3 linked regions of the Elephas maximus indicus genome follow. Each later gene encodes a partner of the first gene's protein in a complex. Links are inferred from orthologs where the notes say so. Each region holds a gene or a part of one and is shown on either strand. Other genes may lie near its edges.

The links.
Region 2: INTS1 (region 1) and INTS9 share a complex: the UniProt entries of both Homo sapiens proteins name them as parts of the integrator complex. The link is inferred for Elephas maximus indicus from reciprocal best matches to the Homo sapiens genes INTS1 and INTS9.
Region 3: INTS1 (region 1) and INTS6 share a complex: the UniProt entries of both Homo sapiens proteins name them as parts of the integrator complex. The link is inferred for Elephas maximus indicus from reciprocal best matches to the Homo sapiens genes INTS1 and INTS6.

The regions. Positions count from the first base shown.
Region 1 is NC_064830.1:95,830,572-95,837,210, forward strand, and holds the start of INTS1 (integrator complex subunit 1), read right to left. Parts: upstream 4,506-6,639; 5' UTR 4,425-4,505; intron 4,124-4,424; 5' UTR 4,081-4,123; coding exon 4,023-4,080; intron 2,636-4,022; coding exon 2,345-2,635; intron 1,508-2,344; coding exon 1,311-1,507; intron 1,149-1,310; coding exon 1,011-1,148; intron 636-1,010; coding exon 476-635; intron 1-475. UniProt on the Homo sapiens protein: Component of the integrator complex, a multiprotein complex that terminates RNA polymerase II (Pol II) transcription in the promoter-proximal region of genes.
Region 2 is NC_064840.1:43,560,175-43,566,813, reverse strand, and holds the start of INTS9 (integrator complex subunit 9), read right to left. Parts: upstream 3,849-6,639; 5' UTR 3,705-3,848; coding exon 3,696-3,704; intron 1-3,695. UniProt on the Homo sapiens protein: Component of the integrator complex, a multiprotein complex that terminates RNA polymerase II (Pol II) transcription in the promoter-proximal region of genes.
Region 3 is NC_064832.1:26,248,530-26,255,168, reverse strand, and holds the start of INTS6 (integrator complex subunit 6), read right to left. Parts: upstream 4,062-6,639; 5' UTR 3,548-4,061; coding exon 3,437-3,547; exon of another isoform or gene 3,302-3,436; intron 3,257-3,301; exon of another isoform or gene 3,187-3,256; intron 3,011-3,186; coding exon 2,933-3,010; intron 2,113-2,932; coding exon 1,963-2,112; intron 1-1,962. UniProt on the Homo sapiens protein: Component of the integrator complex, a multiprotein complex that terminates RNA polymerase II (Pol II) transcription in the promoter-proximal region of genes.

The sequences.
Region 1 (6,639 bases):
CTCACACATTCATTCCCACGGGCACATTCATGCCCTAATCCCAGTGTCCTCACAGGCATTCACAGCCTCATCCCTGCCTGCACACTCACGCCCTCACTCCAACATCCCTGGGTGCACACTCACGCCCTTATCCCAACATCCATATGTGCACACTCACGCCCTCGTACTAACATCTCCATATGCACACTCACACCCTCATCCCAACATCCCCATGTGCACACTCACACCCTCATACAAACACCCCCATATGCACACTTATGTTCTCATCCCAACATCCACGCATGCACACTCACGCCCTCATCTCGACATCCATGTGTACACACTCATGCCCTCACCCGGACATCCCTGCATGCACACTCACCCTCATCCCAGCATCCCATGAGCACCCCCCTTGCTGGGCCTGGGAGGAAGGTGGGCACAGCCCTCCCCCTCACACTAGAAAAGCTCACCCTCTCCCAGCCTCACAGCCCCTCACCGGCACTGAGGTCTCCCCCGCCGCGCCCCGCCTCCCCCTGCAGCAGCACGCTCTTAGGAGGCATCTTGGTGTTGAAGGCTGTCTGGATGTTGTCCACAAAGGCCTTACAGTGTGGGCTGTCCACCCAGATGCGCTCACCCAGGGAGTCCTCGATATACACCTGTAGGGACAGAGCCCCGGCCAGCTGAGTCCACACCTGCAGACATATTCTCTGCCCCCGGCACTCCAGGTTGCTGGGCCCAGCCCCACCTCTGCCTCAGCAGGGATCAAGCTGAGTTGTTTCTCGTGTGCCCAGCAGTGTGACCACCTGGGAGGATCAGTGCTGGAGCTGCCAGAAATAGCTCTCTGGAGGGAGCAGGCAGTGGAGGACAGGCCTTGGGCTCCTTCTCCCAGTGCTCCAATAGCAGCCTCCGCATTCTGCTCTCAGGCCCGTGTGCTCCTTCTCCTCCCTGCGCTCCATCAGGCCACCACCCCCTACCCGGTACTCTGTTCTGGTCACCACCAGAGCAGGAACCTGGCCAGAAGGCAGACCCACCTTGACAAAGATTTCAGGCCAGTTCTCATCCTCTTCGTAGGCAGCCATGAGGAGATTACAGGCCAGCACAGAGACCAAGCTGTTCCCCTTGGCTTTGAAGTTGATGGAGGCATCGCGACGCAGGAGGCTACACAGCGCCTGGGCAAGGCGGGCTTGGGTTACCCAGGGGAGCAGAGGCTCCCGTCTCCCCCTGCGCCAGAGGCCAGTGGGTATGATTCCAGAGGGGCCACTGGAGGAAAGTGGAGAAGGGGGCATGGCCACAGGGTCCAGCCCCCTCCCAGGACAGGGGGCCACTCTTACCTCAATGACGCCCTCTGTGGCAAAGATGTTGGGCTTGATCTTGGCCAGGTACATGAGGCTGAGGTAGAGCGTGCTGTCAGGCTTGGCCCGCGTGAGCCGCAGCTGCCTGGCCGCCCCACACAGCACACCCTCGATGCGCTCGTCATTGCCCTCCAGCTCAGCAGCCTCAATCTCCTCCAACAGCACTGTGGGCAGGACTGGCAGTGGCCAGAGCTCCGGTCAGAGGACAGACAGCCACGGAGATGCCCACCAGCCCCCCTGCCTCAAGCTCCTCCAACAGCACTGTGGGCAGGACTGGCAGTGGCCAGAGCTCCGGTCAGAGGAGAGACAGCCACAGAGATGCCCACCAGCCCCCCTGCCTCAAGCTCCTCCAACAGCACTGTGGGCAGGACTGGCAGTGGCCAGAGCTCCGGTCAGAGGAGAGACAGCCACGGAGATGCCCACCAGCCCCCCTGCCTCAAGCTCCTCCAACAGCACTGTGGGCAGGACTGGCAGTGGCCAGAGCTCCGGTCAGAGGAGAGACAGCCATGGAGATGCCCACCAGACCCCAAAGCCTCGGGAACCCGGGGCAGGTCATCAGCAAGAAGGAATGTCAGGTGCACTCGGCCACTGATGAGCACGTCGCCTCCCCAGGCAGCTCTACGCGCACAGGGAGACAACCACAGCACAGCCCTAAAAGGGCATGGGCAAATGCGACTTCTATTTCATCCAAGGAGTCCTTGGGTGGTGCAAGTGGTCAACATGCTCAGCTGATAAACAAGAGGTTAGAGGTTCAAGTCCACCCAGAGGCACCTCAGAAGAAAGACCTGGTGATCTACTTCCGAAAGGCTGTGGCCTTGAAAACCCTGTGCAGCACAGTTTGTACCCTGATACACGTGTGCTCATCATGAGCCAGAGTTGGCTTAACGGCAACTGGTTTTCCCAAAGCAAAAAGGACCCCATACAGTGCTAAGCCTAGAAGTGGCTGCCACTGAACCCCTGCTGGTGACCTGGTATACCTACTTTCCCTAGAGAAGTCCAGGGACTGATTTTACCTTCAATCGGGACCACAGATGGTTCCTTAATCGATGGAGAAATAGCTCGTTTTTCTGCCACCGCGGCCTCAGCCAGGCGCCCTAGAGCACTCAGTGGGGGTGTGGACGAGAGTTTGGGGCGTTTGGTGAGGCCAGTCAGTGCCGAGGCACCAGATAACGCGGCCGCAGCATCCCGCTTGCGCTCTGAAGGCAGGCCGGAAGGGGCTGGCTTCAGCAGGGTGGATGCTGTTTTCGATTCATTGGCCTGTCCCTTTGAGCCCAGGGCAATGAAATCTCCTGGTGGAGGGTGTCCTGCAGAGAAAACAGGTTGCATGCTTACATAATGCCCGAGGTAGAAAAGACTCTCAGAGACTGGACTCAGCTTCCTGTTATTTCAGAGGCGAGTAGACAAGAGTCCAAAAAGGCAACCAACAAGCTGAGGTTAACAGCAGGGCTGGATCTGGTACAGTGCTGACTCAGTTACACAGTGCTCACTACACAGCATGCCACCTCTAAGTCGTTTAGAAGCATTAGTTCATTTAATTCTCAACACGTTTCTGAAATAGGTAATAAATCGACTGACAGCAACTAACGATAACAAAGACTCTCATTTAAAGAGTCCCTGGATGGTACAGATGGTTAAGTGCTCGACTACTAGCCAAAAGCTTGGCAGTCTGAACCCACCTAGAGGTACCGTGGAAAAAAAGCCTGGCGATCTGCTTCCGAAAGGTCACAGCTTTGGAAACCCTATTGAGTGCAGTTCTATTCCATATACGTGAGGTTGTCATAATTGAAATGACTTGATGGCAACTAACCCACTCTCCTTTTACAGATGAGGAAAACAAGACACACAGAGGTGAAGTAAAATGCCCAGTGTGGCACAACAGGGGAGAGGCAAAGATGGGATGTGAATCTAGGGAGTCAGCTCCAGAGTCTACATCTAACGACCACCTGAGGCTGCCACCTGCCTCCAGGCACAGCATGAAACAAGAAACCTAGTCCCTGTAGGAAGTCACAGCTGTTCTAAGTCTAGGGCTCCCAGCACCCCTGAGGACTGACAGCTATTTTTGTTTCCATATTTCTTTATTGTTGTTGAGAACACAGACAACAAAACATACACCAATTCAAGTTTCTACACGTACGATTCAGTGACATTGGTTTCATTCTTCAAACTGTGCAACCATTCTCACCCTTTCCTGAGTTGTTCCTCCCCCACAAACATAAGCTCACTGTCCCCTAAACTTCCCGTCTAATCTCTCAAGCTGCTGTTGTCAATTTGATCCCATACAGTTCTTTTTTTTTCAATAACTTATTTTATTTTTGGTGTTTTTGAAAACATACACAGTTGAACACATACCAAGTCAACAGTTCCTACATATACAACTCAGTAATACTGATTGCATTCTTCCAGTTTATGCGCACCAACCTCAGCGTCCTTTTCTGAGTTGTTCCGCCCCCAGTAACATAAACACCCAAACCCACTGCCGTCGAGTCGATTCCGACTCATACACACTGCCCCTTAAATTTCTACCCAACCTCTCACGTTGCTGTTGTCAACCCGATCTGAGAGCTACTCTTCTAGACCCCCTTCTGGAAGCAGCCTCCGCTGCAGAATAGCGAAGCTCCAACTCGGGCTACTTGGCAAAGCCGAGAAGCCCCCACCGACCCCGCAGCCCCGGGGCAGGAAGAAACCACTCGCCTGAAGGCTTAGCCGCAGCGCTGGGCCTCCGGACCGTGGCGGTCTTGGCCCGGTTCATTCTGTCCCCGTCCTCTCACGGCTCCTACCCGCTCGTGTGTCACCTGCGGAGAGAGCCAACAGGCGGTCATTCATTCATTTTCGTGCTCATTCATTCATTCTCCTACCGCACAGGGCGTGGAGAGCAGAGGACAATTGGGCGCGGGCCCCGCCAGCAGAAAATTTCTCAGGGGGCTGCCTGAGCTGTGTGCATGGAGCCTCCGGAGAAGGGGCTCCCGCAGGCCCGGGACCGAGGCCGACAGGGTGCAGCGGCGGAGGCCTGCAGAGAACAGGCCTGGCGGAGGGTGGGAAGCCGGCCGGGAGGGGCGCGCTCCACGCGGCAGGAGGGAACAACCCAACACTCACCTCCAGTCCATCGCCACCCGGAGCCCCGGCCGCCCCGGAGCTGGAAACAAAACTCCCCGCTTTCGGAGCTTGAAGTTCCGGAGGAACCGGAAACAAAACAGCGCGGCGGGAGAAGGGTGGAAGAGGATAGAGGGGACACGCAGGGCCTGCGCAGTGTCTGCAGCGCCCTCTGATGGCGGGGAGGACGATTGGGCACTGCAGCCTCTGCGTGCTTTCAGGAATTGGATGGGCCGCGCTGTACGTGTACATGAAAAAAAAAAAAAAAATTGCAGTGGATTCCATTCCGACTCACAGCAGCCCTATGGGACAGAGTAGAACTTCCCCACAGAGTTTCCAAAGAGCAACTAGTAGATTCGATCTGCTGACCTTTTGGTTAGCAGCCAATCTCTTAACCCACGAGGGCTCCAACCCACAAAACCAAACCCGTTGCCATGGAGTCAGTCATTCTGACTCTGAGACCCCATAGGACAGAATAGAACTGTCCGATATGATTTCCAAGGCTGTACTCTTTTTTTTTTTCTTAATCTTTACGGCAGCTGACTGCCACATCTTTCTCCCACGGAGTGGCTGGTGAGTTCGAACAGCCTACCTTTTCGTTAACAGTGAGCGCTTAACTACTGCACACCACGGCTTCAATGTATGATACCTTTAAATTTCTCAGCCAAATTACATATAATTATCATTATATATATTGGTATAAAGGAGCCCTGGTTGCTCAGTGGTTAAGCCCTTGGCTGCTAACCAAAAGGTAGGCTGTTGGAACCCACCAGTCCTCCTGTGGGAGGAAGATGTGGCAGTCAGCTTCCGTAAAGACTACCCCCTGGAAACCATACAGGGCAGTTCTACTCCGTCTTATAGAGTCTCTGTGGGTCACTAGGAGTCGGAATCCATTCAACGCAGTGGGTTTGGTTTTTGGTTTATAATGGTTTTATAGGGAGCCCTGGTGTTGCAACAGTTAAATGCTAGGCTGCTAACCGAAAGGTGAGCGGTTTGAACCCACTAGCCACTTCATGGAAGAGACAGATCTCTCTCTGGCATCTGTGTCTGTAAAGATTACAGCCTAGAAAACCCTACGTGCAGTTCTGCTCTGTCACATGGGGTCTGCATGAGTCAAAGCTGACTTTCTTGACTGTAATTTTTATGAAAGCAGACTGCCAGACCTTTCTTCTATGGTGCCATTGGGTGGGTTTGAACCACCAACATTTAGGTTAGCAGCTGATCAAAAACTGCTTGCACCATCCAGGTTCCCTATAGTGATGTACTATGGATATATATACGTACGGGAACCCTGGTGGCATACTGGTTAAGAGCTACAGCTGCTAACTAAAAGGTTGGCAGTTCAAATCCACCAGGCACTCCTTGGAAACCCTATGGGGCAGTTCAACTCTGTCCTTTAGGGTCGCTATGCATTGGAATCAACTTGACGGCAATGGGTTTGGTTTCTTTTAATGTACATATATACACATACACACACATGATATACGTCATCTGCACGTGTGTCATTGGATTAAAATTCATCAACTAAGTTATGTTTGTTACTGCTCTTGTTGTTTGCTGCTCTAGACTTCGACTCATGGCGACCCCACATATAATAGAATGAAATGTTGCCTGGTCCTGTGCCATCTTCACGATTGTTGGTATTCTCGAGTCCATTGTTGTGGCCACTGTATATTTTGAGTGCCTTAAAAAAAAAAAATTTTTTTTTTTCCAACCTAGGTAGCATGGTGGTTAAGTGCTTGGCTGCTAACCAAAAGGTCAGCAGTTCGAATTCACCAGCTGATCCTTGGAAACCCTATGGGGCAGTTCTACTCTGTCCTTAAAAGGTCACTATGTGTTGGAATCGACTCGATGGCAACGGGTTTGGTTTTGGTTTGGTCCAACCTGGGGGGCTCATCTTCCAGCACTATATCGGACAATATTCTTTTATTTCTTTTTTTATTGTATTTTAGATGAAGGTTTACAGAGCAAATCAGTTTCTCATTAAACAATTTAAATACGTATTGTTCTGTGACGTTGGTTGCCACCCCCACAACATGTCAACACCTTCCCCTTCTCAACCTCGCGTCTCCATTACCATCTTTTCTATCCCCTCCTGCCTTCTCATCCTTGCCCCTGGGCTGGTGTGCCTATTTAGTCTTGTTTTGTTTTATGGGCCTGTCTAATCTGTGGCTGAAGGATGAACTTCAGGAGTGACTTCACTACTGAGTTAAAAGGG
Region 2 (6,639 bases), on another chromosome or scaffold:
ACTCCAACAATTAGGAAGAGAGCAGCAAAAGAAGCCCACAGTCACCAGAAGAAACGAAATAATAAAAATTAGAACAGAAATAAACAAAACAGAACACAAAAACAACAGAAAGAATCAATGTAACTAAAAGCTGATTCTTTGAAAAAGATTGATAAAATCAACAAACCACTGGCCAAACTGACAAAGAAAAACAGGAGAAGACACAAATAACATGAATAAGAAATTAGATGGGTGACATTACAACAGAACCAACTGATATAAAAAGGATCATAACAGAACCCTATGAAAAACTGTAATTTGAAAACCTAAAGAAATGGACAAATACCTAGAAATACACTACCTGCATAAACTAACACAAAATGGCGTCAACAATTTGAACAGACCTGTAACAAAAGAAGAAATTGAAGGGGTCGTGAAAAAACTCTCAACCAAAAAAAGCCCCAGCCCAACAGCTTTACTGGAGAATTCTACCAAACATTCAGAGAAGAGCTGACACCAGTTCTACACAAACTATTCCAGAACACAAAAATGGAAGGAATATTCTAGAATTCATTCTATGAAGCCAGCCCTGATACCAAATGCTGGTTAAAAAAAAAAAAAAAATTCATCACTAAAAAAGTGAACTACAGACCAATATCCCTCATGAATACAGAAGCAAAACTTCTCAATGAAATTCTAGCCAATAGAATTCAAAAGCATATGTAAGGAAAAAAAAAAATACATCACGACCAAGTGAGATTCACACCAGGCATGCAAGGATGGTTCAACATTAGAAAATCAATCACCTTAATTCACCACATAAACAAAACAAAGGAAAAAAAAATCACATGATCATCTCAATTGACACATAAAAGGCATTTGATAAAATCCAACAGCCATTCCTGATAAAAACTCTCAATAAAATAGAAATAGAAGGGAAATTCCTCAACATAATAAAGGGAATTTATACAAAATCAACAACCCACATTATTCTCAACAGGGAGAATCTGAAAGCATTCCCCTTGAGAATGGGAACCAGTAAAGGGTATCCTTTATCACCACTCTTATTCAACACTGTATTGGAAGTCCTAGCAATAAAGTGAGAAAACGAAATAAACCTCCAAATCAGTAAGGGATAAGTAAAACTATCCCTATTGGCAGATAATATGATCCTATACAGGAAACCCTGGTAGCATAAGTGGTTAAGAGCTACGGCTGCTAACCAAAAGGTGGGCAGTTCGAATCCACCAGGCACTCCATGGAAACGATATGGGGCAGTTCTACTTTGTCCGATAGGGTCGCTATGAGTCGGAATTGACTCGACTGCAACAGGTTTGATTTTTGGTTTTATGATCCTATACATAGAAAATCCTAAAGATTTCACAAGAAAGCTACTGGAACTAATAGAAAGATTCAGCAAAGTGGTAGGATAAAAGACCAACATACAAAAATCAGTTAGATTCCTCTACATCAACAAAGAGAACTTTGAAAACGAAATCAGGAAAACAATACCATTTATAATAACCCCCGCCAAAAGATAAAATACTTACGAATAAATCTAACCAGGGACATAAAGACATCTACAAAGAAAACTACAAAACACTACTGCAAGAAAACAAAAGAGACCTACATAAATGGAAAAATACACCATGCCTCTTGGATAGGAAGAGTAAACGTTGTGAAAATGTCAATGCTACACAAAGCGATATACAGATATAATGCAATCCTGATCCAATTCCCAACAGCATTCTTCAGTGAGATGGAAAAACTAATCACTAGCTTTATACAGAATGGAAAGAGACCCTGAATAATAAAGCTTTTCAAAAGAAGAACAAAGTGGGAGATCTCACATTACCTAATTTCAGAACCTACTATACAGCTATGGTAGTTGAAACAGCCTGGTGCTGGGACAACAACATAGACCAATGGAACAGAATTGAGAACGGAGAAGTAAATTCATCCACCTATAGACAGCTCATCTTCGACAAAAGACCAAAGGTTATTGAATGGGAAACAGACGGTCTCTTCAACAAATGGTACTGGCAAAACTGGATATGTATCTGTAGAAAAATGAAACAGGATCCATACCTCACACCATACAGTGAGTAAAATAAGTCAATCGTAAAAAGACAAATATTGTTTGATACTGATTTTATAAAGAAGAAAAGGCTTACACACAGAAAAAAGGAAAGGAAAAGGAAGGAAGGAAGGATGAAAGGGAGGAGGGGAGGGAAGGAGGGAAGGAGGGAGGAAGGAAGGAAGGTAGGTTCTTTTATGGTTACCAGGGATGGTAGAGGGAGGGAGGAAAAATTACCAAAGAGGTAGTAGATGGAAAGATATAGTAGGAACGACTTAACACTGGTGAAGGGAAAAGCAATATATAATATGGGAAAACTCAGCAGAACGTGACCAAAGCAAAAGGGGACACTGAGATGAGCGTGCGAATAAAGGGCAACTACCATAACTACTATAGTATAGACAGTCCTGCAACAATAGTATTAACAATAATTTACATAAACAGCTTTAAATGGAGACAGTTTTGGAGTTGAATCTACTTTTAATACCTTCTCTGACTTCCACCCTGCAAACAGTTGCCACTTTGCAGAGCGTATGCCTGTAGCATGATTATCAAATGGGTGCTATGTACTTTCGAAAAGCATACTCAAATAGTTATATAAAAGGAAAAACAAACCATTTGTTTTTGTATAGAAATTACAGAAAGTAAAGCTTGACAAAGGAGCCCTGACGGCACAGTGGTTAAGTGCTCCGTTGCTAACAGAAAGAATCAGCAGTTTGAACCCACCAGCTGCTCTGCGGGAAAAAGATGTGGCAGTTTGCTTCCATAAAGATTACAGCCTTGGAAACCCTATGAGGCAGTTCTACTCTGTCCTATAGAGTTGCTATGAGTCAGAATCGACTTGATGGCAATGGATGAAGCTTGACAACTTGGTTGCAGGATTTTAAGATTGAGAAGCAGTGTTTCACAGCTACCTTCCTATTCTAATTGTGCTATTACTAATTCAATAGGGTTGGAATTAACTCACAATAAAAGTAAAGAGTGAAAATAAAGATCTGAGAAGCTACTGGAGCTCTGTGATTCAAGGATTTCTCTAGGTATACTAGCATTTTCCACCTAACCTTTGTTCATGCAATCTCTACAGCCCTAGACCGGAATGTCTTGACACTTCCTCTCTGCCCATCCAAATCCTATACAGGGTTTAAAACTCAAATCCTGCAAGATCACACGCTGATTTCCTTCTCTGAATTCAAAGGGCAATTATAATTAAACTATAACAGGAAACTTAATAAGTGATTACGTTCTGCCTAGTATCTTCTACTCGCTTCAGCAGGGAGAAGAGCTAAACATGTATCAACCAGTGTGCCTATTATAATACTCACGTGGAAGCTCAGAAGTCATAGGTGACTATGCTCCAATCCTAGCTCACAGGTGAAGAAATGAGACAGTCAACCTCTTATCTGACCTGACAATGAGTGAAAAAGTTCTCCGTGCTGTTTTAAGGGGCATGGTGGAGTGGATAAGGGTGAGGATTCCGACCTACTCGACTACAAAAAGCAGATTTCCCTAGTCTACCCCATATTCCTGTTCCGAAAAAGCCATCCCTCCTCCGCGACGGTTCCTTTCGCAAGGTGGAAACCACGAAGTCCAAAAGGATATGGTATCACCTTTGCCCTCTGACCTAGGAGTGGAAACTCACCAGTTTCATATTGGACTTCAGGCTGTTCAACAGCAATCACTCGACTCCTCAGACCCAGAATGCGTCTTCCGGTTCAATCTCCGCCACCAACCTGCACAGAGCATTACGGGACAGGCCGTCTCCCACCATCCCACGCCCCAGGAATCATGGGAAATGTAGTCATCCCTAGATGCATCATGGGAACTGTGGTCATATTTTCTTTTTTTCCCTGAACTCCTTCTTCCGTCATCCTCGCCGTCTCTTCATCCTCCCTCTTCACCCCATCATGATATCTTGTCCCCCATATGGGCCTGGGACACATAGTTTTCTGGGAGGTGTAGTCCCGGTGGGTCTGGATTCCCCTTTCTCCTCCTCCCTGTGGGCCGGCTAATGGATGCGGGACTTGCCGGGAGCTGTAGTTCTCCGAGGTGTCTAGATGCGGAGTCCCAAGCTTTTACTCAAGGGAGGCAGGAACTACAACTCCCAGGGCTGCCCGGCGGCAGCAGGTGGGAGCGGGGCTGTTGATATCAATATGGCGGTTGTCAGCCAGACAAAGACAGTCAGTCTGATGTGATTGAGGCAAGGGAGGTTTTCACGGGGAGACTGGGAGATACCGGCCTCCCCTCCTCCCTTTCCTCTTCCTGTGCGGGCCTCAAACCCTCCCCAGCCCCCACCCGCCGGGCTCCCCACGCGGAAGACACCCCTCCCCCTCCCGCTTTCTCCTTCCTATCTCAGCTTTTCGTACTGGGACGTTGGGGAGGGGGCTGTGCCGGGCGGAGAGAACTCAGCGAGGATTCTGAGGTGAGTCGAGCAGTTTGAAACCGGACTACTTCAAGTCTCTTCCCTCACTTGTTTCTCTTTACTTTTAAAATTTTCCCCCAGAGGCTTTGGGGAGAAAGTGAGTGGGATGGGGAAGGGTCTCTTAAGCGGCCGGTTTGAGAGGAGGGAGAAAGCAGGGGCTTCCGAGTAATTGACCTGGACGCAGGATATGGGGTGGGGCAGTTTATAGGGTGCATTAATTGAAAGGCGTCGGCTTCTCCCCAACTCTTTTTTCCTTGTTACCGCCACGGTGGGCGGAAGGTTTGAATCCGGGAGTTGGGGGGGGGGTCTTCTGTTTGGAGTTTGGGAAACTGACGTGATTTTGAGGTGTGTTGGTTTGTATTACTGTGGTTTAAACTGTGTTACGGGTACTTGTGTGATATATTTGTATTGCATAAATGTCTAAAGATAAGAAGTTAGATAGCTAGAAACATAGCTTTTAACGGGGCCTGGGCTGAGTAGCGTGTGTGAGGTCCTGCTCCTGGACGTTTGGCTGACGACGTGGTGCTGGGTAGCTGGGGTTAGCAACTCGTTTGTGTAGGATTGCCCGCTCACACTCCTCTTCCCCGTCTCCGCCCCCTCCTCTGGACGCATCTCCACCCCAAACTCCCGGCAGGAGAATTGTAGAGATGATGTGGTTTGGAGATGGATTTTTGCATACTTAAGTCAGTAGCTAGGTGGGAAAGGAAAAGTGTTCTTAATATTTTATTCCGGAACCGTGTTTTGGTTACACTCTTGGGGCTACTTTGAAAGGAGTCCTCCACCCACCCTCACCCCGAAACAGTAGGTAGAGGTGTCTCGCCGCCTTCGTGTTAAATATATTAATAATTAAGATTTTGGGGCGTGGGGTGGGCATACGGAGTGCTGAATTGTGTATGTGTCTGTGCGTGTCTACTGAAGATACAGAATGATTGTTGTGTATCTTGAGATAGGGCGACTTATTTTCGTGGCAGGAAAAGCTATTGGAAATTATTTGGGGGGCAGCTGAAAGGCGCTGCTTGTATTTTTCTTCTACCCCACCCTATTCTGCCTCGCATTTGCCTGAAAGCTGGTGTGGAAGAGTGAGTGAAGGAAAGAATGCAGTTGGCCTTGAAGATACCGTACTATGTGAAGTTGAATGATATGAAGTAATTGCTGTTTTTATTTACCTTAAAATAGCTTTAAAACCCTCATGTATCACATAGGGTAGAGTGATGTGACCAGTTTATTTCCATGGAATCCTGCAGGTGTAGAAACTCCTTCCTTTCTTCCCTGGCATTTGGATGGACATAATGCCTCCTGAGCCTTTTTATTTAGTTTGTGCCAATATGGTTGTGCTTTTTTGTTGTTTATACTGTAAGAGGCATCACTAGATGAAAAGATTTTGCATTTGTTTTTATTTTGCATTTATGCCACAGGTAATTGCCACGTAAGGATTGCAGTGCTTTGCGTTAAACTTATTTTTAAATTGAGCAACTAAGTTGTTAGATGTAGTTGAATTATGTTTATAAATCAAGTTTGGAAATTTTGAATTCTGAAAAATTTGAATTCTGATTTTTTGTTAGTTTCGTTTAGAGCTGTGAAGGGAAGAGGATTGCAACATCTCTTGTTTCTCAGTCTTTTATATTCAATAACACTACAAAAGGAGAATTTAAGAGCGTTTATTTTGTATTTCCATTTGAAATAGAAGTTCTTTAGTATGCCTTCTTATGTGACTATTTTTTAGTGTAATGGGCTTTTCAATAACCAAAGGAATTGTAATAATTTCTATTTAGACTGTTGAGAATTTAATACATTTACATATGACCCCAAACTTACTGATTCTTAAAACTGCCACCTATCATAAGAGACCCTAGATTCTATAAAAACTGAACTCCACACAGATACAGTATGTAATTTTATGGGATGTTTTATAACCTTTGATTTGAAATTTCTGCAGTTGGTCATTCATGCAGTTAAGCTGATGGACCTGACAAAAAAAATTGATATTTTTTAAATCTCGAATTTATAGTATATGTTGATGCAAAGCTGAGACTTTAGTTTGGTATAGATAGGATTTCCAGAATTATCTGTTTTAACCTTGGATCTTAATGTGAAACATTACTTTGCAAAAACTGAAGAGAAATCCTATATAACTGTATAATAGAGTGTTTTTTTTTTTGTTGTT
Region 3 (6,639 bases), on another chromosome or scaffold:
AACCTTGCTTATTCATCAAAATAATTGAGAAGCATTATTCCTCCCCCTTATGGAATTGATAAACCCTAATGTGCAAAAAAAAATCCTAATCTGCAGGCTCTTGTCTGGTCAAAGTGGTAACAGCAGGACCACCTTCAACCTCAAGCTGTTTACAGTGCAACCTGTGAAAGCCAGAACTGCATGCTTTCTCCAGGTCTTGCAAGTTTTCCACCTTGACAGGGTGTCTTACCACTTTCTATCACTCTCTGTTAGTGGAAATTGTTTTGAGTTTTTTCTTCTCTGACAGGATTCTGTCTTACACAGGTTCCAGCTTTCACAGGTTTTATTACATAAGCTTTAGACAAGAACTAATGTGTTCTCTTGTAGAAAATGGCAATTGGGGAAAGGAAAATACAGGCTTAAGTTAAAAATGTTCTCAGCCTCACCATGACAATGAGTTTTCCTGAGGAAGGACCCTAAATATTTTTAATAGGTCGTAGGAAGTGAATGTGTAGGCAGAAAGACAGGAAATTAACAGTTGTGCAATACACTGTTGTTAGGTGCCATCAAGTCGATTTTCGACTCACAGCAACCCCATGTGACAGAGTTGAACTACCCCATACAGTTTTCTATACTGTAATCTTTACGGGAGCAGACGGCCAGGATGGTTTGAACCACCAACCTTTTGGTTTGCAGCCGAGCGCTTAATGGTTATACCACCAGGGCTCCTTCTGTGCTACCCACTGACAACCTGACAAATAATCAAGCAATGGCAAGTTTTGAGTTTTTCTTTGAAGTCAAAGAAGGTTGGATAAAAACCTTAAGCATTAAGATTGTGTATCACCACATATAACAACTGGATATGAAAGGGAAAGAAATCTATGATTATTTTACAGAAATAAATTGAAGAGTTCATGGCAAATCTACCTAAATTACTGAAAGTTGCAACATGAAGCAGCACAGAAAGGGGGGGAAAGTAATGTAAGAAAATACACATTTACCTAATTAAACAATGGACGTGCAATTCGGTAAAAGTAGAAACTCATGACAATTGTGGCTGTGGAACTGGGAAAAGAAAAAATGTACATCTAAGTATACCATGGTGGTGACAGTGCTCTTCACTACGACACAGGAAACTCACTGGGTTTAACAGCCCTTTGTTATGTGTCACATTACATATTCTTCAGTATCTTTTATTTTCCAGGCCAGTGATCTCGTTAAAAAGTTATAATGGACCACCTTGCATTATTCCACAGTGAACCACCATGTGATTTAAAGCTGCATGGAAGTCTTGTCTCATCCTTAAACAGACGAGCTGCAGGTGCAATAGAGGGCTTTAGGGGTTAAGAGTGGGTTCTTTCATTATTTTCCAGACAGCCTCTTTTCCAAGGGTTTATAATAAAAAAAAAAAAATCTCCTTCAATAGTTGCTAATTGTGTATGCTTGAAAAACTGAGAAATCTTAATGTACTCAACCAGGTATTGCACCCCAATGAAAATCTGAGCTTTCAGAATAGTTAAACAATATGGTTAAATTACACCCTGATGCAACACAGAGAACAGTTTCCTAATATTTGTCCTGACTGATACAGAAATGGGGACCACTGACCAGCTGGTGTCTGTAGGCCACTGCAGTGGCTGCACATTCGCCTGCAGCGGTTCGTTACTGAGTATGGTGAGGCAGGAGGTTTCCACTTTAATGTACCAAATGAATTTCAAGGGATTAAAACCACATTCACGACAACTCAATTTTTAGCAAAGGATTCTGGCTCTAATTCTGAATTCAAGTGCGTTTTAAGCAAAAATATGAGGGATACAAAACTATACTGAGTATGTTGAGGGTTTCACATTTGTGTTACGTGCATATATTTTCTTTTAATCTGAAATGTTTCATACTTATATTTTACATATAGGTTTAGGACTGGAATGTGTTTTTCCACAAAAAGAAAAATCAGCTATTTTTCCACCTTAATATTCAACCTACCTGCCCATAGTTGTCTATGCCAGTTACTAATCTATTTAAATTTAATAAATCAAAAGCTGTCCTTAGGGATTGGCCAAGAGTCGTAAGTCCTTCAGCCTGAAGGTTTTTCAGTTCATTCATAAACGTTGCATGGTTTTCTTTCCATCCAGCCTGAAAAGAAAAATGTAAGAATTTTTTTTTTCATCTTTCAAAGCCATGCACACACGGGCAGCCGTTATAATCTGATGCTCGCCAAGTAGCTGCTTCACTTTACAGTACAACATGGTTAACTTGTTTGTTGTGTGTCACTGCTGAGGAAACTCCCCTCCAAAGCTCGCCAGAATAAACCTTCTTGCTCTATAGCTTCTGGTCATTACCAGCTGCCACACTTCACAACTTTACTGGGGAGCTGACTCTCTCACACCCCAAATTTCAGGATGTGAAGGCAGCAGCGCAGAGCAGAGGAAACTGGACTTCTGAAGTCAGCCTACAGCTGTCCCACTAGCCTGTGGCCCTCTCAGGAGCCATCCAGAGCCCCAGCGCCGCAGACCCCCGCTCCCCCACGCCCCAGCCCGAGCCCCGGGCGAGCCGGCGCGGCCGAGCCCCGGGCCGAGCCCCCTTTCATGCGGACGGGGCTGCGCCGCCGGCCCGGCTGTCACTCCGGCTAACTTGAATAAATATCCCCCACAGTTCATTGCTGCCGCTCACGCCGCGGAGGGGAAATGTCGGCCATGTTGATCGCAGCGCCGCCGCCGCCGCCGCCGCCGCGGGCCGGGCCCGGGAGGGGACGGCGATGGCCTGGCGACTCCGCGCCGCGCCGGGACGATCCAGAGCGGGGGAGGGGGTGGGAGCCCTCAGGGGAAGAAGCCTCGGGGCCGGGAGAGCGGCGGGTGGGGGAGGGGAGCATAATGAAGGGTGGACGGGGGGCGGGGAGGGCGAGCGAGGAAGGAACCGGGAAGGGAAGGGAAGGGGGGAGGGCGAGGGCTGTTACCTTGATAGCATAGGGCGGCTCTTCGAAAGTGACCAGCATGTACCTGTCTCCTCTGCTGGCGGGATCCCGGGCACGGAGCTGCGGAGAGCGGACGGGGGACGGGGAGAGGAACAGGGCGGGCGAGAGGGAAGCACAGAGGCGAGGTTACGGGCGGAGAAGGGGCGTCGAGCGGCCCCGCCGCCCCCCCACAGTACCGCACACGCAGCGGCCACCCCTCCACGTCGCCCCCCACACACAGATCGGTCCCCACACACCGCCCGGGGCCGCAACCGGGTCCGGGGCCGCAGCCGGCTCCCGGGCCGAGCCCGGCTCGCAGCGCCCGCCCGCCGCCCGCCGCCCGCCGCCCGCCCGCCCGCGCGGTGGGGGAGGGGGTCCCCGAGGCCGGCAGCTCCCGCAGTCAGGTCCCCGACACCTCCGCCTCGCCGCCCCCAGCCGCCCTCCCCCACCCCTGCCGCCCGCGGACCGCCGGGCCGGGGTCGCCGCCCGGGCTCGGTCAGTCGGTACCTTCATGAAGGTCTCTACCGCGCCTTTGGCCGTGTCCAGGTAGGTGGTGCCCAGATGGCTGCGCTGGTTCATAGAGGCAGACGTGTCTATCAGGAACAGTAAGATGGGCATAGTGCTGGCCGGGGACACCGGGGCCCGAGGTGGTGGAGGAAGACGGTAGGTGTCGGCGCCGGTGGCGGCGACCGCCGCTACGCGGGGCGGGGAGCGCGGCCCCCGGGAGGAAAACACCGTCTGGGTCTTTCCTCCGGCTGCGGGGAGTTTCTCCCCCGATAGTTAAGAGGAAACTCCCCAGACCCAGTCCTCCCCGTCGTACCCCCGCCTCCGCCTCCTCCTGCCTGCCTGCCCGCTGGGCCGGGCTCCCGGCCGTCTGTTTGTCGGTCCGTCCCCCCTACCTCGGGGGTCCCGTCCCCGCTCCCGGCCCCTGTGTGTGTCCCAGCGGGAGACGGGCCTGGCTCCCCACCCCACCCCCGGTGCAGGGAGTGGGGACCTGGGAGCTGGCGAAGGGGGGAGTGGGCTGAGGGGAGATTGGCCCTGGGGCTGTTGGGAGAAGTTTCAGGGACTCCCTCTGCACCCCAGCGGTGTCACCACTTTCTCGGCCCCTCTCGCTACTGAAGCGCTTTTCTCTCTCACACTCCGGTTTTAACTCGGGCAGGGGCTGCAGAGGCTCCGCCCCCTGACACGTCCCCGAGCCACGTGATGCACCGCCCCGCTGTTTTATTGGCTAGCCCCTAACCTTTCATTAGCATATTTAAACAGCTCAGGGGCGGGGGAAGTTCCTAGGCCGGCTCTGGGGACAGTTATTGAGCACGCGCGGAGGCGGGGCGTCGGGTACGCGCGCGAGGGGCGAGCAGGCGGGCGGGCCGACGCGGAGGCGGGCTCCGGGAAGGGGCGGGGACGGACCGCGGAAGGGCCGCGAGGTGGGGGAGGGGGCCGCGTCGGCGCGCGCAGGGCCGCCGCGCTCTTGCGCGTCAGGGCGCCGGCCTGCCCTTGGCTCTTGGAGGTGTTAGGGGTCGGGGAAAGGGAGATGCAGGCTGGCTTCAGCTGCCCTCCGAGGTCGTTGTAGTGAACCCCTTCCCCGGGGGGCGAGTGAGGAGAGGATGAGTAAAGTGCCCGGACACCCGATGAGCACAAGCGTCGGACCCGCGGTCGCCCCCCCGAGGTGGCTCGGGTCCGCGGTCGCCGGAGGAGGTTCCTTGGACCGGGAGGGCCGGCCCCAGCGCGGGCGGGTCCGGAGCGGGGGAGGGGAAGTGAGAGGTTGTTTATGACCAGGGACTGATCTCCGCGAGTCACACCGCTCCCGCTGGGGAGTGGGGACGAGGGCCCGAACCTCGCGCGGAGCCTCCCTCGGCCTGGGGAGCGACCGAGGGCGAGGGCTGGAGCCGGGGCAGGCCGGGCTCCGTCTTGTTGAGGACCCCTCAGAAGGGCAACAAACCCTCTCTCCTAACCCAACCCCGAAAAACCCTGGGAGAAGATTCCGATTTCCGTAGTTCCCCTTTTTACTCGGGAGAAGAATAACTGGGCCTACCCCCAGAATTACATTGCACAAGCCGCGTTTACGTTGGGCCGTAGAATAAATAGCAAAATCTGCATATCAGAATTGAAAAGGACCCCAACGACCGTAATGCATTACCAATATTTTACACGTGAAAAAATTGCCTTTGGCTTGCCGGGATAACACAAAATGGGTTCCCATAACCCTGCTAGTGCTCTTTCAATATGGTGCCCTCTCACGCTTGACCCAAATACCGTAGAGGGAAGAAGTTCTAACGCGAGTCTCTCTCATCCTACCTGAGGTAATGAAGCTTCTCCTAAATGTCCGAGGGATAGTGTCCTCCAAGACACGAGTTGAAACACTGAAGACACTGTCTTAAATGCAAGTTGGATTGGGGACATAGGACCTTCTAAAATGTAGCTATTAATCGGGCCTTTCCTACTAGCCTTGCATTGCCTGAATTTTTTAATTCTATTCCGAAATTCTTATTTGCTTACTGCTCATTTAGAGAAATTGTTGATATTGTTAACCACAGAAGAGATGCTATGTGGCACTTTTAAAAAAATTAAGTTTTATAAATTGGGCTTTTCCTAATCTTTACGACAGCTTCAGAAATCTGTTCATTTATGTTAGAGCTTTTTCAGTAATAATGCTGCTCTGTGATTATGTACCATGGAAGAGGTGTCATATTTTTGAGATTTGAACTGTGAAATAGGAAGAAGATGGAATACAGGCCCTATAGCCAATATTTGCTGAGGACCTACCTTGTACTAGGTGTGCTGGAGATAAAAAGTTAATCAAGTTTGATCCTAGTATAAACTCGATGCCTTCGAGTCTATTCTGACTCAATGTGACCTTATGGTCTTAGTATGGAGAAGATAAGAAATAAATAAAATATGGTCCCTGCCTTCACAGAGTTTATGGTTTTCTAGAAAAAGATGACATACATAAGGCATAAAGTGACTAGATACTAAGTAATTCAGAGAAAAGAAATATATATTGTGGTGATGAAAGAACATTTCCTAGGGTCAGTATGTTTAAGGTGCAACATAAAGAAGTATTTCTGAAACTGGAATCCTAGACCCAGAGATAAGAATTATGTTCTATGATACTTTCAAATTTTTGTTTTCATTTTTTATGACAATATATAAATTACGCGGCCAGTTATAAAGACAATTTTTCTTTCAGAATGATGGACATATTCAGAGTATAGGTCTGTAGTTTCTATTATCAGTGTTTTCAAAGTCTGCAGATCCCTCCCTGCCTGTCTCAAATTGTATCCTCATAAGAGAGGCTTGGTGGTGCAGTGGTTAAGAGCTTGTCTGCTATCCAAAATGTCCGGGATTTATAATCCACCAGCCACTCCTTGGAAACCCTATGAGGCAGTTCTGCTCTGTCTTATGGGTCACTATGAGCTGGAATTGACATGATGGCAACGGGTTTAGTTTGTATTTTTGTTATTTTTTTATAGGATCATAAGAATTTACATTGCATTAATACATTATTCAAGAAGCCCTGGCAGCACAATGGTTAAAGCACTCAATTGCTAACCAAAAAATGGGATATTGGAACCTACCAGCTACTTTGTGGGAGAAAAGACCTACCTGTAAAGATTTCAGCCTGGGAAGCCATGTGGGGGCAGTTACAATATTCAGTATTTTGTATATAGGTTTGAGAAACACTGCTTTAAGGGATCGGTAGGATTTGGGAT